3 linked regions of the Caenorhabditis elegans genome follow. The protein of the gene in region 1 interacts with the protein of each later gene in a pairwise test. Each region holds a gene or a part of one and is shown on either strand. Other genes may lie near its edges.

Region 1 (9,822 bases):
AATATTGCGATTTACCGAGTATGACGAATAGCAATTTCGCCAAATTTGCAAAATTTGCCGTTTGCTGAGTTTGGCAAATTTTCCCAATTTGCCGCACACCCGTTGAATGCATCATATGTATATTGGCGGAAAAAAACAACAAAATTTGATAAAAAATGTTATACTTGGTCAAAAAACTTTTAAATAAATTTTTTTGTTGCTACCCGAATTTTCTGGAACTCACTAGAAATCATGCCGACTGAGAAATTAAAAAAAAAATAAATCGAAAGCTGAAAATCTGCCATGCCAGCACTCCCTTCCAAGTTCCAAAAACGGACAATTTTTTGAACCAATTTAAAAAAAGCGTTACATATTCATGCCATCACTTCTCTTTTTTTTCATTCGCATCTTCTCCATCTTGATCCAGAGAGGGGCAAGTCGATGCCGTTTCGTGTTTGTTGTATTGCCAATTGATCCTAATCGCATTGATGCAATAGTCTGGCATTGCTTCTTCTTCTTTCGGCAAAACCTTTTCATTTAGTCCGGTTCCACACGGGCCTCCTTTTTTGCCCTTTTTGCTTTAATTTTTCACTTTTTATAATGCGTGTGTGTGTGTATATCTTTTCGCTTGCCCCTCTAATACTCACTTTTGCGCATCACCATCTTTTCACTCATTACAGTGGATTTCTGAAAGAAATGGAAACGCATGTTACACTCACACCTTTCGCTAGCGTCTTCATCTCTGAATCCTTTCGTTTTCGGTCACTCAGCAAACATGTTACCTCTCTCTCTTTCTTTCTCTGTCTTTTTCTGTTCCATTTGTTACGCAATCGGAATAGAAAAGCAGTTCCAAACTGCCCGTTCTTACCCGCCCTTCCAAGTTTTCTCTCAATCATTTCCCCTTCGATTGCCTAATCTTCCAGTTTGGCTTCTTCATTTTCCCTTAACAATTTAGAATCACATTTTTCTGAGCTTCATCTAATATTTAAATTTGTGCCAAGCGTTCCTACATTGCAAATCAATTGTGTCTTTTTAGGCTCTAGCTTCAAATTTGAGCTCAGGAACAGCTGATCCATAGTTTTTAGTTTGGATCAAAACCTTCAAAACTTGTGTCTTATAAGGCGTAGGTTTGAGGTAGGCAAAAATATAGTTTTCACTTGATTTGGAGAAACTGAAAATTCTCAAAAATGTTCGTCGAATTTTATTCCGACAATTTTCAACTTACCGACAATTTTGGTGCATGTTTTCAATCTGGATTCAGTTGTTTTAAATATTTAAAATACAAGTTAATGTCTGACAAAGCAAATATAGTTATATGTATTTTTTTTTCAATTTTAATGACAAATATTGGGAGAAAATGCCACGCTAGCTCATTTTTTAGAATTTTTGGACACAAAAACATCAAAAAATTTTTGTAGAGACAATGCATATTTTACACGACCACAGCCACAGTACCCGCAAGTATTCTGATATGTATTTTGAACAATTATTCGATATTTTATGTGTTTGCAAAATTTTCCAAAAAATTGAAGCTTCTGAGTTTTAAATAGTGTCAAAAACAGGCAAGACAATTTCGAATCACTTGTAGGTGCGGTAACTGCAAATTTCAAGTTGTTTCGTAATCCGTACCAGGGGTGGGCAGCAAACGATCCGGCAAATCGGCAAACCGGCAAATTGCCGAAATTGGAAATTTCCGGCAAACCGGCAAATTGACGATTTGCAGAATTTGCCAAAAATTTTTTGCCCTTTTTTTTTTGGAAATTTCAGAACTTCAATTTCAGACAGCCGAATTAAGCACATCCTATGAATATTCCTACATTTATTTCAATAAGTAAGCAAATTCTGTTAAAATAACTAGAAAAAACGGGAAAAATTCAAAATGGCACAGTTTTAAGTGTTTACGTCCTGTAAATAATCCCTCTAGACATTTCCGGCAAATCTGATATCCGGCAAACGGCAAATCGGCAATTTGCCGAAAATGAAAATTTCCGGTAAATCGGCAAACCGGCAATTTGCCGATTTGTCGAATTTGTCGACAAATCAATTTGCCGAACCGCAATTGCCGCCCAGCCCTGATTCTATCGCATTTATTTTTGTGTCAAAAAGCAGAAAACTCCGCAACTGGGTAATTTTATATTTTATAGGGCTCCTAAACATCTTAAAGTTCTTTCAACTGGGGTTTTTGTAGGGAGCATCGCAGAATTTTGAAAATACTGGATTTTAAAATCATGTTTCTCCCTGTTCTATTACTTTTAACTGATATACCCCCTGATCCAATGATCTCCAATCAACTGATCGCAATCACATGCCCCCTCCGAACTAGCGGACACATGAATAAAAATCAGCTGTTAAGTCCATGTCGAACCCCTCGTATCTTGTGTAATAGACTGCTCACAATTCTTTTTTGTTCTTATCACCATCACATGAATTGTCATTTCTCGAGACCGGTTCTTCGCTTCTCTGCGTCTCTCGATCTCTCGCCTTATTTTCAGACCGTGTTTTTTACTTTCAAATTTCAGTTCATTTCAACTTCCCCTCTAAGTACATAACCTCTTCAAATATCAAATATTTTGTGTGTCATAGTTATGTTTAATCTTCTCTCATTTTCACTGTTCTCTCATTCTCGTTTATCCGCAACTGACCCTGAAATTTTTGTGCCCGCCGTGTTTTTCACGAATTTCACAGTTTTCAGGGGTATTGGCTGACCGCGACACATTCATCCCGTTTTTCAGATTTTTTACATATTTAATCAAGTCAGGGAAGGCGCACGATGAGCAAGGTGAAAGGGTGAGATTTTTGACGATACTTTTAGAATTTTCGAGGCTAAAATACAAATTTCCGGCAAATCGGCAAACCGGCGAATTGCTGAATTTGCCGAATTTGCCGGAAAAACGGCTTTGAAAGCTTTTTGGAAATTTTAGAATTTAAATTTTAATCGGCAAAATACTACGACTATTTTAAAAAGTAAGCAAATTCTATGAAAATATCTAAAGAAAATCGCGGAAATAATAAACATTTCTGCCGGAAATGAAAAATTCCGGCAAATCGGCAATTGTCGAAAATTTCCGGCAAATTGTGGTTTTGCACGGTTTTTTTGTTGGAAATTTCGGAATTTCAATTTTAATAGACAAAATTGCACGCATCAAAAAATCAAGGTTTTAAGTGTTTTCGTCTTATAAAAAAATCCCTTTAAACATTTTCGGCAAATCTGATATCCGGCAAGCGACAAACCGGCAAATTACCGGAATTGAAAATCTCCGTCAAAAAAAATGTGCCGACAAAAAAATTGCCGAACGGCAATTGGCCGCCTCTGTACATATATATCGACTAATTATTAAAGAAATATGAAAACATAAGAAATAGATGAAGAATTTGTCTAGTTAATAGGTAGGGAAGTAGGCACGTAGGTTTTTTGTGCCTACATGCCTATATGCATAGTGCATAGGGACAGAAAATCTGAAGTTCTAAAAAAATGCTTAAAAACTTGATTAAAAAGTGTATGATTTTGTGCCTACACAGAAAATTTGACTTTGTTTTTTTTTGTTTAATTCCAAACGCGTAAAGCTTTCAAAAATATTTGTTCTGAATATTATCCTTGCTGAAAACACTTTAAAATATATATTAAAGCTTCCTTAAAAGTTTAGTTGAAACCTCCATTTATTAAAAAAAAGTTTTAAAAAAGTTCATAACTTATTCAGTTGGTGTTCCATTGTGACATGGCTATATATTCTTGTCAAGAATATGTATATCTAATTAATAATTTTATTACCACAAAAAATTCCCTTCAAAAGTGTAAGCTGGAGCAATTTGAAAATGTGCAATTTTTAGAAATTTTTAATTTTAAAAGTCAAAGCAAAATTTTAAATAAAATTTTCATAATTGATATTAAATCAGTTTTTGTGCAATTTGTTAAAAGGTTTAATTGAAATTATTGATGCACTATATTTTACGTGTCACATTTTTTACAGCTAAAGCTGTAATTTTGAAAAAGCTTGATAAGTCTAACTAGTGAGATTAAGTGCACTATTTGTGAACAGAAGAGATAAATAAATATCCTGTTCGTTATCACTCGAACGGTTTTATCAGCCGAGATATAGTGGACAGAACAGTGACAACGCCAAAAACTGGCAATAATGATACTTCCTCCCCTCCCCATCCCAACTTTTTTGGATTATTTCATACCCACAACTTATTTATTTTCCAGAGATCTCGAAAAGTCTGACAAGCGTCCACCATCGTCCATGTCAACTGGTTCAGCTGACAGTGGTGTATTCTCATCGGGAGTTCATGCTTCATCACCTAGTCATAGTCAAGGATCATCATCGCAGAGTGGGCCACCGAGTCCTACTACTCAGTTGAACTCGTTGCTTTTTGAAACTGCTAACCTGATTGCGGTGAATGAGCAATTGAGAAAGGAAATTGCAGAGTTAGTTTTATTTTGTTGCTTGGCTCCAGTTTCTTGCGCAAGTTTTGCCCGAAAAAATTAACTTGGAATTTCGGCAATTGCCGGTTTTGGAAATTTTCGGCATTTGGCAATTCTGTGCAATTGCCGGTTTTAGAAATTATCGGCAATATTGGCAATTTCTGCATTTGCCAGTTTTAGAAATTCTCGGCAATCGGAAACTGCAGGTTTTGGATATTTTCGGCAATTGGCAATTTTGACAATAGCCGGTTCAAAAATTACATTACTTTGAGCTTGAAAAAAAAAAAGTTCATTAAAGTGCATGTTTAAGGTCCGGCAGTTCTGATTTCCGAAAACCGGCAATTCTGACGATTGCCGGTTTCGGGAGTTTTCTGCAATCGGCAAATTTGGCAGTTGCCGAAATTGCCGAAAGCAGAATTGGGCCAAATTTCGGTTAAACTTTGGGCCTAAATGTCTTGCCCAACTGTTGCCCAAGTTAACTTTTTTGTGCCAAATTTGGGCAAGAAGCTATGTTTGAAACCTAAACACCAAACACTGTTTTTCAGAAACAAGCAAATCCAGACGAACCAGATGCGAGCACTCAGATACTCCTCAAATCCAGTCGATCAGCCATTTGTAGCGAATTCGATATCACCACATCACGGGTTTCCACAGTGAGTTTTAATTATTCAAATTGTTAAACCAAAAGAAATTCAAAATCTTTTTGATTTGGAAAAAATGTGAAAAAACCAAATCAAAAACCATTGAAAAAATTCAAAGATAACGTACCAAGTTTCAACGCATGTATCTAAACTATTTTTTGTGATATCAAAAAGTTTTTAACTGCACTAATGTAGCTGATAATGTGATAAATATTTTTGTAGTTGAAAATGCTTTCATAGCGCTTAAAATAACTAAGATGTAAGGTGTCAAAGTAGTGGAAAATTTCCACAAAAAAAAACCATTTTTAGAGTTTCTCCTAATAATTACATTTTCCAGACGCCCCCCTCGCGGCGAACGGCGGATGCAAAAGCCCGAATCTTACAAGACGGTCATTTGTCAGGCATGGCTCGAGTCGAAAACATGCACTTTTGCTGAAAATTGCCGATTTGCACATGGAGAGGAAGAGCTGCGCCCGGCGAAGTGAGTTTTCAAAATTTTTGCGCATAACTTTTGGCGCAGGGGTGGACAATTTGCCGATTTGCCGGAAATTTCAATTCCGGCAATTTGCCGATTTTCGGAAAAATTCAATTCCGGAATTTTATCGATTTGCCGGAATTTCTATTCCGGCAATTTGCCGATTTGCCGGAAATTTCAATTCCGGCAGTTTACCGATTTGCCGGAAATTTCAACTCCTGCAATTTGCCGCTTTGCCTGAAATTTGACGCGCAAAAACCCTGAATATTTTCAGACTGGAATCACGACAAAACAACAAGTACAAGACGAAACTTTGTGACAAGTACACTACCACTGGACTATGCCCCTATGGCAAACGGTGTCTTTTTATTCATCCCGATAATCAGCCAAATGCATATATCAGAGCTGATAAGCTTTATGAGGTTAGTGATGGAGAGGTGGCCTAGAAAATTCAAGTCGGCTATCTTTTGAAACTAAAATGTATTATCTAGACTAGAAATTTTGGATTTTTTGCCCAAAATTGCGGTACCCGGTCTCGACACGACAATTTTTACTAGATTTTGAAACTACACTATTCTTTAAAGGCGCACACCTTATTGTATATTTGCTTCACCAACAAAAATATTTCGCGTCGAGACCAAGTACCGTACCTATGCCGCAAAAATCGCAAATTCCTGTAATTATTCAAAAACTCCAATTTTCAGGTCTCGCAGCGCCACGCACTCGCAGATTTACGGGATCACGTGGAATCACAGATTATGACAGGAAATACGAGAAACTCGTATAATCAACAGCCGCCACCGATGGGCGGTCTAGAAATGCAATCTTCACCGATGAAATCGAGTTCTGACTCCAGTCATATGCGTTCTCCAATGGCTCAGATGAATTGTGAAAGTGAGTTTTTTAAAATAATTTTTTAGAAAAAAAACAAGTTTCAATAAATTCCTTGAAATTTTTTTTTCAGCCACGCGTCCTCACCCTAGCTGGCCGTTGGAATCTTCGTCCTTTTTCTTGCCACCCGAAATGTCTTCAATCAATAATAATAATTTGATGAGCCCATTTGAGACGCCATTTCCCAACGGCTCCACGGGAATTCAACCACATTTTGTGACAGGTTAGATTTATGGGATATTACGGGAACACAAAATTCTGAGAATGCGTATTGCGCAACATATTTGACGCGCAAAGTATCTCGTAGCGAAAACTACAGTAATTCTCTAAATGACTACTGCAGCGCTTGTGTCGATTTACAGGGCACAGTCTCCTCCAGTGGAAATTTTGGTTTGTTGGCGCACTTCTCGTGCATCGCGTGCAAAATTGAGAAATTTCCGAAAACGTTCAATTTACTGTTTTTCTTCATATTTTTCATAACATAAGCTTTGGTGGAAGATTACTTTTCAAATGAACATCAAATTCCACTAGAAAAATGATGAAAAATATACGAAATATGAGAAAAACTCAATTTTTAGCGGTTTTTTCTTTTTATATCAGCGCTTTTATTTTTGAACCAAAATCAAAAATCTTTTTTTTTCCACCTTGCCCTTAATTAGCTTTACAATTGATACGTAATTAAAAAGTTTGAAATCGATTTTAAACCCGTGAAAACTGAAGGAAATCACTTTTCAACGGTAAAATTTTCCCACGCTCACGAGAAACGCGCAAGCCCCCTTGTTGGGTCATTTCCAGGAGGCTGTGCAGGGCTCTAGATTTTTGAAAAGAAATTCATTTCGAAAATCGAGCGCTACAGTAGTCATTTAAAGGATTACTGTAGTTTTCGCTGCGAGATATTTTGCGCGTCAAATATGTTGTGCAATACGCATTCTCCGAATTCTGTGTTCCCGTAATAAATTATTCCCCCATTTTTGTGTGAAATTTGTAATTTTTCTTGAAAAAACTTGTGAGCTTGAATTTCTCAAACTTGCGCGTCAAATACGAGGTACTAGGTGCAGTGAACCACAGAATCCGAATACTGTGCAAACACCGACACAAAGCGTCATATTTCACTCGCAAATTTGAAAGATCAATAATGGTTTTTTTTTTCGTGGAAAAAACACAAATTTCAATTTAAAATTAAAAAATTCCGAATTTTCAGCAAAACGGAGAGCAGCCTTTCCTCCAGTGCCTTCCAATTTCCAACAAGACGATGATAATATGTCATCAATTCCAGGATTCGACCATCTTGCAGAGGATATGGCTAAACATCTTGAATTGTGGTGACATTTTTCAGTTTTTTTTTAATTTGAAATTTGTTTGTCTTCCTTGTCTGTGAGTATTGTTCAACGATTAGTTACTAATAATATTTGAGTAGCAAGTGGTCCTAAATCCTTTTTTTTAAAGATTTTTAAATTTATAATAAAAATGGGACCACCTGATACACATCTCACTAATATTTTTTTCGCTTCTTTTTTTGAAAATTTTTTATCTCCTAATATTAATTATTTTTATTGCTCCCCCTAAATAAAGTTTTAATTTTATTTCACACAAGGGATAATACACGTTGCAAAAAGCGCAAAATCCTAAGCTTCTTTCTCTAAAAATTTTGGATGAGGTTGGTTCTTTTCTTTTTTTTTGGGAGGGAGAAACGGAATAAAACCGGAATATGGAGCAAAAAAGAGACGGGAAAAACGAAATTGATGCATACTGACTACGAAAATCAAAAAGAAAAGGCATCTAGAAAGTCGTGTGAACAATTCTGAAACAGGCAAATGTACAATTGAACGGGGACTTTTTGCAAAAAAAAAATTTGAAGGAATAAGTGAGTATTTTCGATCGAGATGCTCCGCACAGCTGCTCACTTTCCGATCCGTTGGCGGACCTTGTTGTACTTGTCCGTGAGCCGGTCCACTCCTGACGCGAATCGTCGATAGCCATTTTGCATGTGAGCAGCAATCGCCAAGACTACGTAATAGGTCTGTTGAGTCAACTTCACTCCGTAGAGAATCACGTCTTTTGTCACGTTGTAGAGCAGAACCTGAATAAAAACTGTTTTGTTTTTGAATTCAAAAATTTATCCAGAAATTTGTGCGAATTTAAGGTTTTGAAGAAATAGTATTATTTAGGGCTATAAATTCTGCTATTTCTGCGCAAAATATTACGGTATCCGGTCTCGACACGAAATATTTTCTTGAAGCGCGGAGGAAAGGTGTGCCGCTTCAAAGTGTACTGTAGTTTCAATATTTCAATGTTGCAGAATTTTTATCGACTTTTTATAGTTTTTTCCACGATTTGTCAACTCCTAATGTTTTTTCTTGTTATATTTGAGTTTTTTAATTAAAAATAATTTTTGAAAAACAATGAAAAAACCGCATCAACAAGAATTTTGAAAAAAAAAACAATTTTTGAGTTTTTGTTGATTTTTTATAGTTTTTTTTGTTAAAAAAATATATTCATTTTTTTTATTTAAAAGCTCAAATATAACGGTAAGAACACAATAAATCTTAACAAATCGTGAGGAAAACTTCGATTTTTGATTTTTATCATTTTTGTCAAAATCTATTGTGTTTTTATTGTTATATTTGAGCTTTTAAATAAATATATAATTTTTTTTAATAGAAAAACTATATTTCAAGCTTGACTAATAAGAGTTTCAAACTACAGTAACCTTTAAAGGCGCTCGCCTTTTCGCATTTGAAAAGAATTTGTCGTTACGAAACCGGGTACAGTGTGTCTGACTCAAAAATTAAAATTTTGAATTAAATTTTAAGTCTGGGTGATAATATATTTTTTTAGAATTCGTCAAAACTAAGAATACAGCACACGAGAACGATTTTTCAAGCTCATTTTTTCATTTTTTAAAAGTAATTTTTCAGTTTTTCTTTTGAAGAAAACAACAATGTGATTAAAACAGGAGAATTAATTAATTGGAATTATCTTAAACATAAACTTTGAACGAAAAAAAAAGTTTTGGAAAAGAAATTCGGCGGATTTTTTTTTGGAAATTTTCCAATTAAAAAAATTACTATTTTTGTAAATTTTCCAATAAAAAACATACCACAGCCTTGGTAATAGCGGCTGAACGAATAATTCCTGTCACTTGCGATGGGTACGACTGCACGGATTCCACCCATGTATCACGCTCCCATACTCCGACTCCTCTACGATCGGCAACCTGCAAATTAATTTATATAATTTTTTTCCAATCCGATTATTCCGCACCTTTTCACTCATAAGAAGCCTACTAATAAGCCTGGAGTAAGCCGGAATCGTCTGCAGCGACTTCAAATGCTTAACTTGATCCGGAGCTGGGACACGGGCATAGCCTCGGCGGACAACTTCCAGATTGAGATTAGTACGGCCAAATGCTG
Region 2 (6,824 bases), about 10 Mb from region 1:
GGAGATTTGGCCGTCTAAACTTTACAGCGCCGTATCTTTTGAACGGTTAGAGCTATCAAAAAATTGTCAACTAAAAAATTATTTGTTTTTTAATTACACATATTTCTGTAACGTAACCCTTTTCTCTAACTCAAACCGTTCGAGAGATATGATGCTTTCAAAATATCTCGCCCTAGGAAAACCTCACTGACTTTGATTCATCATATCTTCAAAACGGTTAGAGCTATCAAAAAGTTATCAACTGACAAATTATTTAAAATTAAATTTTATACATTTTTTTAATTTAAAATTTTTTGGTAACTCTTGCCGTTGCGGAGATATCAAGCTTTAAAGTTGGCGCACCCTAGAAAAAAGGTCAACCGTATATCCCGAACAGTTAGAGCTATCGAAAAGTTGTAAACTGACAAAATTATCAAAAATTGCAATTCATATTTATTTTCAACATACAAAAACAATTCTCAACTCCTATGACGTCATCACTCCTTCTAATTTTCCACATAGTGTCTTCCCAACTGATAAGCTTATCTCATCACCTGCGTTTTTATCAATTTTTTGTTACCAAAATCGATTCAAACAAACACAAAATTGCCATAAAAACGGTTGCGAACTTTCTGTTTCGTTTTGGCAATACTAATATTTTTTTTTGTTGAAAGTTTCAAATTGAAATTTTTTCAACAGAAAAAATTTTAATTTTCAAGAAAAACAAAAGTATTTTGACGAATATATCAGTTAACTTTTTTCTTTTTTTGCCGACACGTGACCGTATAAAATGACCCTGTAAAACAACTAAAATACCTGTTTTCGCGTCATTTGGCAAAGGATAAAAGTTGGGGGGAAACATGAACATTTCAACTTCTTCGCGTCATACTACTTTTAGTAAATTCATTTTTAGTTAGTTGTTTTTTTTAGCTATTTTGATGTCAAAGTAGGTACACGGGTACTCAGAAACTGGGAAATTTTTTTGTGGAATTAAAAAAAAAAAGAATATGGAAAACAAATTAAAAATTAAGAAAAAAAGTTTTTCAAAAAATTAAAAAAAGCTCAAAAACTTAATTTTTAAAAATATTTTTTGCATAATTTTTGTTCACTAGAAATCCTGGAAGCTTTCCTGTTTTATTCCAAAAAAATTTACAAGATTGACACCGCACAGGGTCGGTTCATTTTGAAAACTTTTACATCAAATTTTTAGAATATTTTTTTAATGATTAAACGTTATTTTGGAAAAATTTTACAAAATGAGACAAAAAAAACCAAGAAAATTGGTTTTAAAAAATTTATTATTTTTCTTCCGAATTTTCGAAATTTTTTTTCTCAAACTTGGAACTTTCATTTTTTATCAGATTTTCTTAAAAATTAGGTCATCTTCTCATTGTAATTTTCTCTACAAAATGAGCTTAACCTTCCAGAGGCTCCGCCCACTTTTCTCCCTCCACACGCCACGCTGTCCTCGTCGTGTCGCCCTCATTTTCTGCCACCACCACCACACAAGTTTGTTACTTTTCTCCGTTTTTTTCTTCTTTTTTTCCCTTCACATTTTTCTCCTTTTTCTCCTTTTCTCCACAAATTCTTTCCACCTTTTTGCCCCCCTTCTCAGCTTCTGGGGGCTCGAGCACTAAAAGGGAGAAGGTTTCGAAATGTAATGCATGTTTCCGTTCTAAACATACACATACATACACACAAACACGCACGAGACGCTAGAAAAAAATGGAGAGAAAAAAATTTCCTCTCCGCTGGCTCTCCGGAGAAAAAGAGAGCTCACCTCCACATTTTTTTGGGGGAGACAGGAAAAGAAAATGCAACATTTTATGGATCCCTGAGCATGATTTTAGTATGGAATTTGGAAAATTTGGAAAATTTTGATTTTGGGGAAGTTTTGGAATTGTTCGATTTTTTGAAAAAAAATTGCCAAAAATTGTTTTTTTTTCAAAAACTTTCCTAATTTTTGGGAGGTTTTTTTTGATTTCTCTTTAAACTTTATATGTTTCTAAAATATCTATAATTTTCAAAAAAAACCATACATTTCCTGTAAAAATCTATTTAAAAAATTATTTTTTAATTTTTCCCGATTTTTTTTTCAAATTTTTGAGATTAAAAATTACCAATTTTCTAATTTTTTTCAAAACAGAACAAAGTTGTTTCTAGTTTGAGAATTCATGACGAGAAAAAAAGAAAAAAAACGTTGGTAATTTGAGATCGACGGAAAATCTAGAACTTTTTGTTTGTTCAGATAGTTGTTTTTTTTCGAAAAAAAACTTTTTTTTCCGCAATTTTAAAAGTGATAGTTTATGTACCTTTAAAAATTAGGATATCTAAGTGTCTTTAGCCGAAGAGCAATTTTTGGTGTCAATTTCCATTTAAAAAATTTCAAAAAAAAGTCTGAAAATTTTTTTGGAAAAAGCTCTAAAAATTCGGAAAAATTCCTACAGTCCGACAATTTTCAAAATTACTCTAAAATATCTGAAAATTTTCAATTTCCCCCGAAAAATTCCCACAAAATTCCCCCATCCAACTTCTACCAGAAAATTCAGAAAACCGGTCGAACGAAATTTCCCCAATTTTCTTTTCCAATCTTTCTCCCTTTCTGCCCCCTAAAACTTTCCCCGGTTACTCTCTCTCAAAAAAAAAAACGAAAAGAAACAGAAAACATCATCTTAAAAGAGAAAACTGGTTCCTAAAAATTGATTTGGCGGGAAATTTTGTTGAGAAATTGGGGGTCAGGCCAAAATTGGACACTTACTTTTCAGTTTTGTCCGGTTGGTTTTCTTTGCGTGGTTGTCTTAGGCCTAGGCCTAGTTTCAGGCTTAGGGTTAGGCTTAGGCTTAGGCTTAGGCTTAGGTTTATATTTAGCCTTAGGCTTAGGTTTAGGCTTAGGCATAGACCAAAGTTTAGTAATCGGCTTTGGCTGAGGCTTAGGCTTAGGGTTAAGCTCAGGCTTAGGCTTATTCTTGAGCTTAGACTTAGACTTAGGCTTAGGCTTAGGCTTTAGAGCTGTTTTCCCTCTTTTTTTCTCAAGTTTTACTCAAAAATATTCTGCTCATTTTGCTCTTTTTTCTATCCCCTCCCCCTCATATCCGTCACGCTTCTCCCTTCCTTTCAAAGCATCAAAGATTTTTATTTTCTCATTTTTTACTTATTGCTCCGACTAAAAATATAATATAAAATCTCATCTTCTTTTTTTTGCAGCATCTCTATATGTTTGCTCCTTCGACGGTTTATACCTATGGACATCATGGTTCTGGAACAGACGAGGATGATGGGTGAGTGTACAGTACCCTACGGTATTCATAGTCTATCACCTACAGTACCCCTGAATCAACTACAGTGCCCATATGGTACCTAACTACAGTACCTATAGTCTAGTTTTGGTACCCCTATGGGGTCTAGCTACAGTACCCAAATAGATCATAGCTACAATACACATGTTGTACATAGCAACAGTAGTTACAGTAACCATATGGGCTGATGTACAGCACCCATATAGTTCATAGCTACAGTACACAAATGGTTCCTAGCTACAGTAATCATAAAGGAACTAAGTAGAGTTACAGTATCCATATGGTGTCAAGTTACAGTACCCCTAATCCAACTACAGTACCCGTATGGTACCTAGCTACAGTACTCACAGATTACAATTGAGATACAAAACCCCCAAAAACTTTAAAAAAATTTCAGTCAACAGGTCATGCCAGGAATGGATAATGGTGATGGGCAGTGTATGGTGTGTGGAGACAGGTCGGCTGGAAAACACTATGGAGTAATGGCTTGTTATGGTGAGTTTTTCTTTTTTTCCAATTTAGGCCTAAGCCTAAGCCTAAGGTGCTAAGCCAAAGCCCAAGCCCAAGCCTAATCCTAAGCCTAAGCCTAACCCTATGGTCTGAAGTTTATGGCCCTAAGCCTAAACCTAAGCATAAGCCTAAGCTTAATCCTAGGCCTGAGCCTAAGCCTAAGCCTAAGCCTAAGCATAAGACTAAGCCTAAGCCTAAGCTTGATCCTAGCTTTGAGCCTAAGCCTAAGCCTAAGGTCTTGAGTTTATGACCCTAGGCCTAATCCTAAGCCGAAGCCTAAGCTTAAACCTAGGCCTGAGCCTAAGCCTAAGCCTAAGCCTAAGCATAAGACTAAGCCTAAGCCTAAGCCTAATCCTAGCTTTGAGCCAAATCCTAAGCCTACGCCTGAGCCTAAGCTTAGGCTTAAGCCTAAGCCTAAGCCTGAGCTTAAACTTTGAGCTATCAAAAATCATGCAATTTATGACTTATTCATGTTTTCGACTGGAATATTTCAATAGTTTACACAACTTTTTCAAGATTCAATTTTTGAGATATCGCTCAAATTTCTAAAATTTCAGGTTGTAAGGGCTTCTTCCGCCGAACAATCCGATCCCAACAGACCTACACCTGCCGATTCACCCAAAAATGCGCCATCGACAAGGATCAACGCAACGCATGCCGTTACTGCCGGTTCCAGCGTTGCCTGACAGTTGGCATGGAGCCAGAAGCCATTCGACCGGATCGTGACGTCATCGGCAAGCAGAAGAATCCACGGAAGAAGAAGATGAAGTCCGACACGAATAGTGGAAGCATCGATGCATCCCTACCCTCACCGAATGGCTGCGATTCTCCAGTTTCCAATAATGAAGATGTTATTTTGTCATTTTTATTGGATGTTGAAGATCAGGCGACTTGCGGGAATAATCATATCACAATGCCTATTGGAATATCAATGATGATGAAGAATGACCCGGATTTCGATGTGTCCACTTTGTTCCATAGTCAATATGTCAGAAATCAGGAGAGCTTTCCGGTGAGTTGTCGGCTGCTCCTAGGTAAACTTGAAGGGAGCTTCCAGTAACCCGTGATGTGTCGGCCGTTTCTAGAAACAAGGGAAATGTCGGCTGCTTCTAGAAGCCCGGCAAATGTCGGCTGCTTCTAGAAACTAAGCAAATGTCGGCTGCTTCTAGAAACTAAGCAAATGTCGGCTGCTTCTAGAAGCCCGGCGAATGTCGGCTGTTTCTAGAAACCAGGCAAATGTCGGCTGCTTCTAGAAATTTGAAATACAGTGTGGGAAAGTTCTATAGGACCCCCCCCTAATTTGAAGGTTTGAGGAACTTCCGAAAATTTTTTTGAAAAACTGCTAATGCCATTCGTTTTTAAATTGAAAAAAACCTATATACATTTTTTTCCAGAAGTTTATCTCAAAAACTGAGGTCGCGCTGGAAAAAACGTCAAAATCCAGTGTGAAACTTCTATAGGACCCCCCGTTTTTTTTCACGATTTTTACTAAAATCAACAGATTTTGGAATTTTTGACAAAGCTCAAATCAAGTTTGAGTTAGAAATGAGTTCAGATAAGCAGTTTTGACTTTAAAAAATTAATACGAAATGTTCTCGTGGGATCTCCAGACTGGTTCTGATTCTTCCGATCTTTGATGTTCAAGTCTGTTTCAAGCTTCCTGGTGCTCTCGGTAATGCCAAAACTTGATAAACTCTCTTTAACAAGTTCCTACTAAAATTCCTAGCACGCACTTTAGATGTTTCGACTGTGTAGTCAAGCTGATTTGGCAAAATATGCAGCAGGAAACAATGGAAGGCTTATCAGGAATCAAATCGTTTTTCTTTGATTACAAGGTTCCATGGGACCAATATTTCAAGTTAAATTGTCCCTCACAGATGTTATTTACTATTTTTTGCGTGAATTATTAAATGTGGAATTGTGGCATGTGTTGTGGCACACATATAGAGGCTGGAAAGCTTACTTCGAAAGCAGTCTAACTTGCAATGCCTCGAGGATCTGCCCTTTCGGACACTGAACGCGCTCAGCTGGATGTTATGAAATTGCTCAATGTGTCCCTGCATGAAATGAGTAGGAAAATTTCCCGTTCTCGACACTGTATTCGCGTGTATCTGAAGGATCCGGTGAGCTACGGTACATCTAAAAGAGCTCCTCGTCGCAAAGCTCTCTCCGTGCGTGACGAACGAAATGTGATTCGTGCTGCCTCCAACTCCTGTAAGACGGCAAGAGATATTCGCAATGAGCTTCAATTGTCTGCTTCAAAAAGGACCATCCTCAATGTCATCAAACGATCTGGTGTAATCGTTCGTCAGAAACTTCGCCCTGCTCCGTTACTCTCTGCAGACCATAAACTCAAGCGATTGGAATTTGCTAAGAACAATATGGGAACGAATTGGAGTAAAGTGAGAATTTAAAAAAGCAAGAGTGAATAATTAGGATCATTGTTTTAGGTTGTCTTCTCCGATGAAAAGAAATTCAATCTCGATGGGCCTGACGGTTGCCGCTACTATTGGCGCGATTTGCGCAAGGAACCAATGGTTTTTTCGAGACGTAATTTTGGAGGAGGAACGGTGATGGTTTGGGGAGCGTTCACGGAGAAGAAGAAGCTTGAGATACAGTTCGTCAGTAGCAAGATGAACAGCACTGACTATCAGAACGTCTTGGAACTGGAGCTCTCCAAATATCTTCGTCACTACTCCAGAAAAGACTTTAGATTTCAGCAGGATAATGCGACAATCCATGTGAGCAACTCAACCCGCGACTATTTCAAGCTCAAGAAGATCAACCTTCTTGATTGGCCAGCTCGAAGTCCTGATCTCAATCCAATCGAAAATTTGTGGGGGATTCTTGTCCGTATCGTGTATGCTCAGAACAAGACTTACCCAACAGTTGCATCGTTGAAGCAAGGAATTCTCGACGCTTGGAAGTCTATTCCGGACAACCAGCTGAAAAGTTTGGTCAGATCAATGGAGGACAGACTGTTTGAGAACATCCGCACACAAGGAAACCCGATTAACTATTGATCCTTTCTTGATTTTA
Region 3 (8,416 bases), on another chromosome or scaffold:
TTTTGGAGAAGTACAAGGACAAGTATGCAGCATTGCTCAATCCGGATAACGTGGCCAAATATACAAAATTCGTTAAAGATTATAACTTCGCTACTGGACAATAGAATGTGAACTCTCTTACTAGTGTAGAATAAAATGATTTGAGATGATTCAATTTCTTGTTCGAAAAAAAATTCCACATTCTCTTCAACTTATGGGGTTATTCAAGTAATGTAGAAAAATGTATTTAAATACATTTTTTGTTTTTGTTTTTGTTTTTTGTGACGTCACAAATGTATAAAAATACATGTTTTTATGTATTTTAATACAGTTGTGACGTAATTTTTCTTTTAATTTTCCGACACTACTTGAATAACCCCATAATTAATACACTGGTGAACCTGGAAGTGCTCGTGTCAGACTGCAATGATCTCCGATTCGTGGTTATGGTAGTGGTCGTGGTTAAATACATTTGTGACGTCACAAATGTATTTATACATTTTGCTACATTACTTGAATAACCCCATTAGGCGTGGCCACATCAGGAACTTCAGAGGATTTTAATCCTCTCAGAACCTATGGCCATTTGGCCGGCCAACAGAGTTGCGTACTAAAATCCCCGAAGGGATATTTCCAAAATTTCCGTCTCCCAGGACTCCCCATGTGGAGTTGCGGGGCCTGGGTTTCTGTTGGCACCGTGGCGAACCTTTTGCTACCTGCGGGAGCGGTCGTTTCCGATGACCCCCGAATTAACGAGTTTCGCCTGGTGGCCGCTTACTCGTGGAGCGATTTCCAAAATTATTCGGCGCCGAGGTAAACCTACAGCCCGGAAGTGATCGTAGTCAGACTACGATGACCCCCCGAAGTCCGGAGTTTCGCATAAAGCTGGTACCCCTTGGGACCATCTCGAGTTTCGCCTGGTGGCCGCTTACTCGGGGAGCGTTTTCCAAAATTATTCGGCGCCGAGGTAAACCTACAGCCCGGAAGTGATCGTAGTCAGACTACAATGACCCCCGATTTGTGTTATGATGTGGCCACATCAGGAACTTCGAGGATTTTCATCCTCACTGAAGCCTTAACACTGTCAGTTCCCCACACTGAAGGAACTGACTGACTATTGCCCCGCGTCTTGGCACATAGCACACGGTGGCGGCGGACAAAAAGCGTGCTAGCGAGAGCCACCGCAATATTGCAAGACTTTGCCACTTCTCGTTGCTTTCAGCGACAATTTCTCATTTCCGCGGATTTCCGTCACCAATTCCTATAGTTTCTCACTATCAGTAAAGTTTTCATAAGATAAAATATCAGTTTTCCACTAAGAAACACTTGAAATTGTCTGTTATCACCGATTTTCAAAATAAAAACATCAAACATGTGTTTTTATTAGAAAAAAAATTTAAATGAATAATTCTTCAAGAATCTGGGTTCCTGAAAAATATATATATCAAATCTTGTACAGAATAATCAGTTTATTGTTTTCAATCTATTTGGATGGTGAAGGCATATAATTTATCTCGCGAGATCTCGCAACCGATGAAGTGTGATGTTCTGCGGATTTGAAATTTTTTCGATAATTCTGCAATCGGCGAATTTTTTGATTCGAATCCTGCTTCAGTCTCGAAAGAAAAAAAAATATTTTATCTACAACACAGCTCTACATGTAAAACATTTAGTAAGTGAAAACCAAGTGCAGGGTTGAAGAAAAACTATCATCGCTCATAGAAATTTATATATCTGAAAATCATTTGAAAAGAATTTCAGTGACTCATTTTGTTGTGGTAGTATTGCTTTTTTGGAATTTTTTTCTCGAAAAAAAACTGGGCGAGGGATTTAGAAATGGGCTATCACAAAATTAATATTCGACGAGAATAACATCATGGAATGTAGTTGGGCGATGAAATTACGGGGAATTTTAGGGAAATAGGTAAAATTAATTGTTAAAGGGGTCAGAAAATAGAAAGAATATACATAATTTCAGCTACTTGACGGAAAGAAGGGAATTTGGGACAAGCGACGTTGTTGGAGGTGTCAACTGGAGGAAGAGCACGAGTTGAATATTTAGTCGAAGAAAGAACGGTTTGGATTTGGACCGAAGAGAGCTGTTCTGACTTGTGGGACAATCTATAAATTTTTAAAATGTTTTTAATTTTCACAATTTCAACTCTGATTACCTGGTTAGCAATAAGCTCTAAACGGCTTTCAAGAGTAGACGACACCTTGATCTTTCCAGCACGAGCAGAAAGTTCAACTCCTCCAGCAGACTCCGATGGCAAGAAGTTTTGTTTATCGAGAACGACCTTGGTGGTGCTTCCCCACTCCTTTTGAAGTCCGTCAAGGCACTCTGGCAAAAGTTGCTCAACAAGACGAAGATCCTTCTCACGGCAACGAAGGACGACTTCCTTTTCGAGCAATTGAAGAAGTCCTTGCATGACAAGTCCCTTCAAAATAGCTGGATAACGAGCAGCATCTCCGGAAATACGGGAGAGATTCGAGCGAGCCTCGTCGAGTACGGCTCCGATGTGGTCTTCACGAGCCTGAAAATATGTTTTTAATTCAAATGTGTCCGATTCAGAACTGGTTTTCAATTTTAAGGCGATTAATGTTTTTGAAAATGTTGAGAAACGTTTTCTCTCACCTTCAAGCAACGAAGACGTCCAGCGTTGAGAGAGTTGGAGGCTTGAATTTTGCGTTGAAGCTCGACTTGTTTCTCCTTCTTCTCGAAGAATTCCATAATCTTTTGACGTTGTTGTTGAACAAGACGTCCCTGAAACAATTTGAATGAATTCATAATTTCAAGGTTTTCCGTTTTTTAGAAGAGATTTTAGTATAGTTTTAAAGGAGTAAATGTTTTAATTCCTTACTTTCTCAATGTTGAATTCTTCCTCGGCTTTAGCATCGATCTCCTCAGCCTTCTCATTGGCCTCTTGCTCAATGAAAGCCATCATGTGGCGGAGCTGCTTCTGAACGTCGTTGTCGCTGATTCCCATGGCTACAGTCGTTAGTGGTTTTCCCTGTAAATTATTTTATTAGTAAAAAGGTTTTCAGACGACAAAATAATAAAAAATCGCGAAAAATGAAAAAAAAATCATTATATTGATTTTTTGAATAGTTTGATGGAATACACAACAGTCGGAAAAAATAAAAAATTGTATTACATGATTTCATTTCGCTGAATTTGATGGTTTTAAAAATTATATATTCAAAAATCCAGATTTTGACAAGACAGGAAAAGCCATTAAAGGTTGGAGCAGATTTTTTGAAAGTAGAAAAGAAAAATACGCAATGGAATATCCAAAACTCATATTTATAACAAAACTGTAACAAAAAGTTGGTCATTGTTGATTTTTCGTCGATACCTCTCATCAATAGTTTGGTTTTCCCCGACATTGCCCACTGGAGGCCAATAATCAAGCGATCTCTGCGGCGGAGGCCAATTCTCTCTCACCATTCGTGACGAGACCAAACACATTTTGTCTATAGAGCGTGTTTGCATTTAGTTTGCCTTTTTTTGACGGTTTTCCCCGAGGGAGATTTATCTGGTTAAACAAAAGAAGCAGCAGATGAACAGAGAAGTGGAATAGAGGGTCGCATCTGGTGTCAGATAGAGATTCGTTAATTTTTTCTTATTTACTTGACCAATATTGATTGTTTTTTTTTTCATAAATACAGCAATAAGCAAAACGCGGTGGGTTTTCCTGTTTGAAGATTTTCCAGTAATAAAATAAATAATAGGGACAAAATTTTTTAATTTTCTTTTCCAGATTTTTTAAAGTTAGGAATTTAGAAAAAAACTAGCTAAAACTAACTAAAAACACAGAAAGATAAATGAATGATGGAAATAATGAATGAAAACGTTTTTATGTAAAAATAAGTTGCCAAACATCTACAGTAATCAAGAAGACGCATGAGCTCTTGAGTATGGGTTTCGCCACGAAAATAGCATCCTGCACGAAATAATTTTTTGAAAGGCGAAATCCCTACTTTTCTCCAAAGGAAACTCATGTTTTTATCAAAAGATAAACTTTATTTTATTCGAACGATGCATTTAAATAAATTTAATCGCTTTTTCAGCGTTTTTAATTTTAAAAACTGAGGGAAAAACTATAAAAATGTATGGGATACGGTAGATTCTGCAAGTTTGCGTGATGTGCCTTGCGGACAATACTTTGAAAATACTTTTTGAATTTCAAAACAGTTTCGTTTCAATCGAAATTCCCGATATCATTCGCCTCTTGAATATTTGTCGATGTTTGTTGCAATTTTAAAAGTTTAATATTTTAAATTCTAAAAAGCTGATTACTCAGCATTTTTAACGGTGCCGAACAAGCTACATGCGGGGATAATGCTTAAACAGGCAACTAACCTTGCATGCAACGCGCTTTCATGTCCGTTTTCTTGTTTTATGCCTCTTCGAAATTTCACAATACAAACAATTGATTTTTCAGGCGGATTTCCCCTCCAAAATGAGCGCCGCAATAACGTGGCGCACTTTCGTGCGTCGAATAGAAAATATGGATTTCGAAAGTAAAATGCGTATGGTTCGACGATATCCAAAACGAAGATTAGCGATAATTATTGGAGTTGTTTTATTCGTCATTTTCATCTTCTCGCGAGGAACGTCTTCCGGCACATCATTCACAAAACAGCATCAATGTTCAGCGGAAAAGTTAAAATTATGGGAAAAAGAGATTGATGTGAGTCGAATAATTAGTAATTATTCATATTTACTTTTTTTTAGGAGTTCGATACAGGAATTAACAATCAAAGCGTAGAGTTTGTGGGAAATGGATATATTGGTGTTGATTCATTCGGACAATTACGAGTTCAGGAGAAAAACCGAGTTCTCGATGTGGAAACCAATTTTTATCCCGGGCTCAACATTGAAATTGACGGACAACAACCTGTTGAGGTTACAAAAATGACGGATTTCAAAAATGGCATTTTCAAAATTCTGCGATGTTTTTCAATGGTTAGCCACGACATAATAAACTATTTATTGGACATTAATGTTTCAGGATGGCGAATGTGCATGTGTGACGTCACAGATATGGGCTCATCGAACTCGTCCAAACTATTTTGTTCAATTGATACAAGTTTCCAATCCAACTGTAATTTTATTGAAATTGATGCATTAAAATTACAAAAAGAACATTTAATTTCAGAAATCAACGGTCCGACTCAACTTGTCTCGTCTTAGTTCCAACTGGTGGGCTCATTCAAAATTAGGCGAGCTGACGGTTCATCAGCGGCAAGTTGCTAGAGCATCGTATGCTGTTGTTTGTACTGATGCACCTGGAAAAGTTTCAGTTTCACAGAAAAGGTATATTTAAAACATTAAAAAAATTAATTAATTTGTTCAGTTTATTTCAGAGAAGAGTCATTTCGGTTTACATGCTCGATTGCGTCGAAGCCAACAAGTGAAGAAGCTTCTCGGGATGCTATCCGATTTTTCCAATCAGGAAAAGACTCGAAAACTTTGGATTCGGAGCATTTTGACGGATGGAGCAAGATGCATTTAACAGGATTCAGTGTTGCGAATTCGAAAGCACCAAATACATTAAACGGAGATAGAATTAATGCAACAAAATACATTTTAATGAGCAATTTACGGGCTCCAACAATTGAGCATGGGGCTACTTTGGAATCTGTAAAGGTAATTGAATATTATTACCTAATTAAAATAGAATGTTTATAGCCTCTGGAAAATTTGGCGCGGAAAAGCGAGCTCTGCTACACTGGTCATTCAAATCTTCTCTTCCCATCACGTCTGTGGCAAGACTGGGATACTCCGACAAAACTTTTTGAGCTCGTGAATACATGGATGCTCACTTTCCAAAAACGAGGTTGCAACAATCTTTTGAGCACTGGAGCAATTGGAGCATCACAAGCATTTGTTCAATCGTTGACTGCATCGAGTTATCACGATTCTCATTTGGAAGTAGCATTGGATGCTCATGATTTGCATCGTGAAATGAATTTTCATGGAATTCCAGTTTATTCGAATATGGGTGTTGTTGGTACTATTCGAGTGGATATAAAATTGGATACGGAAAATCGTCCTTATTTTATGGTAATAGTTTATAGAATGTTTTACAACTGTAGCATAGTTTGTGGTTTCTTGTTGCTTAAATAGACTGAACTGGCCCCGAATTTCATAGTGAGACTTCTCAAAAAATGAATAAAAATCCTTGTCAAAAGAGCTGAAACACGTCTTTTATTTAAATTTTAAAAATATTTATCCTGGAAATACTCTAAACTATTTCTTTCAGGTTTCATCTTCTAGTCAATTATTTGTTTGTGATGGTGGATGCCTCGATAGCCCAGTTTCACTTGGAAAGACTCCAGTTCAATTACCAGTAAAAGTCACGAAACCAGTAACATCTCTTCTCTACATTGCTCCATCTCGACGACATCTTGAACTCCTAAGAAATGCCATTCACGTGTCGGAAGTTGGTGCAGCACCGGCACACGAAGAAGAAGTTATTGAAATGCATCGATCTGGAGAATCAACTGGAGGAATGACAACATTCTGGGTGTTCGTTTTTGTTGTCGTCGTCGCTTTTCATCTGGTTGTCGCCAAAATCGTTTGGAGCGAATGGAGAAAAGGCGATATGACACCCTATAATCCGTATTTGAGGAACCGATATTCTGCTAGGCCTCATTAGATAATTTATATTGTTTTAAAGGTGGAGTGGAGTCAACTGCTTTAAATGACAGAAAATATACCGTAACTAAAAAAAATTTTAATTTCTTTTTTGATTCTTAGACTTCGACTACTTTTTGGAGATATCCGTTTCAAATTCTCAAATTTTACTGGTTTTTCTGTAATTTTCTTTAGTGCTCTTAATTTGAGAGGTGCAAAATTGAAAAAATCATTTTTCAAAATTTAGAAAAAATGTTTATAGTTATATTCCGTCATTAGTGTCCATTTTCTGTAATTTAAAGTAAAAAAACAATTTTGACTCTACTCCACCCTTTCAATAACCCTTCTGCTCTTTTCTAGATTGTACATACAGGAAAACAAATTCCTTAATAAGGACCCTTCATATATAATTTATATACCGAATCCTTGCACATTCATATGTTTTATATATTTTCTCTCTTTTCCATTTTACATCATTTCCCTGCTACGTGTAGAGTAGGCCAAATGCCTTCAGCCTTAACTTACCTAATTTTCGTGTGTTCTTCTATGAGCCTTAACGTCCCCGAAATTTTTTTCTCTGTAAGTTATATATTTATTAAGAAATAATTATATTCAAAATGGGTATTTATGAAAGATTTTCAGAACTATTACAATTAATTCGATTTTTTTTTCTTTTTATACGGTACCAATGGTCCGGTGTTGATTATTGTGATTTTGTGTTGTTCCAGTGTTCTTGTTAATTTTTTAGAAATTTTTCTAACATTGCAATCAAAGGTTTCATCGAAAAAATTCGATTTTTTCAGTGGGAATCGAAAAACAAACATTTTCGATTTTCCGGACAACTGAAAAGCCAAAACAAATTTTGAAATTTCACCATAAAATTCAATTTTTATCAAGTAATAAAAATAAAAAAGCGAAAATTTTAAATCTTCCGATTTTTGAAAAATTCAAAAATCCGGCGCCTTTGGTTGCAATCGTGTTTTGAAAAAAGAAACCGTACACTTTTGGGGTTATTCAAGTAGTGTCGGAAAATTAAAAAGTGTAGAAAAATTACGTCACAACCTTATTCAAGTATATAAAAACATGTATTTAAATACATTTGTGACGTCACAAATGTATTTAAATACATTTTGCTACATTACTTGAATAACCCCACTTCCAATAAAAAAAAACTCCGGAAAGAAGAATTGCCACGTCATCTGTTTCTTTTTTCATCAATTAATGTTCCCTATCTTTTTTCCCTCTGTTTTCTCTCTTATTTCGGTCTCGGCGCCGCTCAAAAGCACTCGCAGAGTCGACCCAATGTAGAGAGCACACGATTCAGAGAGACTTAGACCATATGTGGCGCCAGGGCGCATTCCCTTCCTAGCACTGCGTCTCTTCAATTGGTTCAATCTCTCATAGTAATGTCCGAGAGAGAAAGAGAATTTCGCAATAGTTAGGGAACCCCCTATGGTTTTTTAAATAAGAATTTTTGAATATTTGTTAATTGCGCACTTTAATAACGACAGAGAGAACAATGCGATGTTTTTTGGCTAAACAAAATTCTAGAGAATCAAAAACGGATTCAGCCTAATTTTTTTTGGATCTAAAACGTAATCTGACATTATAAAATTTTTTATTCGAGCGATCCGTAAATTTTTCAAAAAAATCTTGGTTGCACAGGAAGACAGACGGGTGTAATTGCTATTTTCAAGCGTTTTTCAATGTTTTTTCGTTTTTCAATATTTCATGTTTTTGCAAACAATTTAGCATGAAATATTCTCACAATTTCACGAGAATAAAATTGAATAA

Evidence for each region. The genes of interacting proteins can lie anywhere in the genome.
Region 2: the proteins of moe-3 (region 1) and nhr-88 interact in a two-hybrid assay, tested with the Caenorhabditis elegans proteins (one large-scale study listed by BioGRID).
Region 3: the proteins of moe-3 (region 1) and C17H12.2 interact in a two-hybrid assay, tested with the Caenorhabditis elegans proteins (one large-scale study listed by BioGRID).

The regions. Positions count from the first base shown.
Region 1 is NC_003280.10:13,158,583-13,168,404, reverse strand, and holds moe-3 (CCCH-type zinc finger protein moe-3), read left to right. Parts: upstream 1-2,671; 5' UTR 2,672-2,749; coding exon 2,750-2,766; intron 2,767-4,183; coding exon 4,184-4,405; intron 4,406-4,947; coding exon 4,948-5,055; intron 5,056-5,380; coding exon 5,381-5,524; intron 5,525-5,792; coding exon 5,793-5,940; intron 5,941-6,222; coding exon 6,223-6,412; intron 6,413-6,482; coding exon 6,483-6,632; intron 6,633-7,610; coding exon 7,611-7,735; 3' UTR 7,736-7,990; downstream 7,991-9,822. Other genes in the region: F32A11.1 (Mitochondrial import inner membrane translocase subunit Tim21), read right to left, coding at 8,310-8,489, 9,510-9,626, 9,674-9,822. UniProt on the Caenorhabditis elegans protein: Zinc-finger protein that may play a role in oocyte maturation and fertility.
Region 2 is NC_003280.10:2,975,233-2,982,056, forward strand, and holds the start of nhr-88 (Nuclear hormone receptor E75), read left to right. Parts: upstream 1-3,183; 5' UTR 3,184-3,192; coding exon 3,193-3,257; intron 3,258-3,672; coding exon 3,673-3,770; intron 3,771-4,036; exon of another isoform or gene 4,037-4,111; intron 4,112-4,156; exon of another isoform or gene 4,157-4,210; intron 4,211-4,342; coding exon 4,343-4,797; intron 4,798-5,523; coding exon of another isoform or gene 5,524-5,613; exon of another isoform or gene 5,614-5,698; intron 5,699-6,824.
Region 3 is NC_003282.8:6,785,648-6,794,063, reverse strand, and holds C17H12.2 (Mab-21 domain-containing protein), read left to right. Parts: upstream 1-3,575; 5' UTR 3,576-3,664; intron 3,665-3,727; exon of another isoform or gene 3,728-3,949; intron 3,950-4,022; exon of another isoform or gene 4,023-4,172; intron 4,173-4,424; 5' UTR 4,425-4,442; coding exon 4,443-4,673; intron 4,674-4,717; coding exon 4,718-4,948; intron 4,949-4,994; coding exon 4,995-5,087; intron 5,088-5,141; coding exon 5,142-5,299; intron 5,300-5,349; coding exon 5,350-5,632; intron 5,633-5,674; coding exon 5,675-6,049; intron 6,050-6,248; coding exon 6,249-6,644; 3' UTR 6,645-7,275; downstream 7,276-8,416. Other genes in the region: C17H12.3 (Protein-tyrosine phosphatase), read left to right, coding at 1-104; vha-8 (V-type proton ATPase subunit E), read right to left, coding at 2,038-2,100, 2,151-2,513, 2,615-2,743, 2,841-2,966.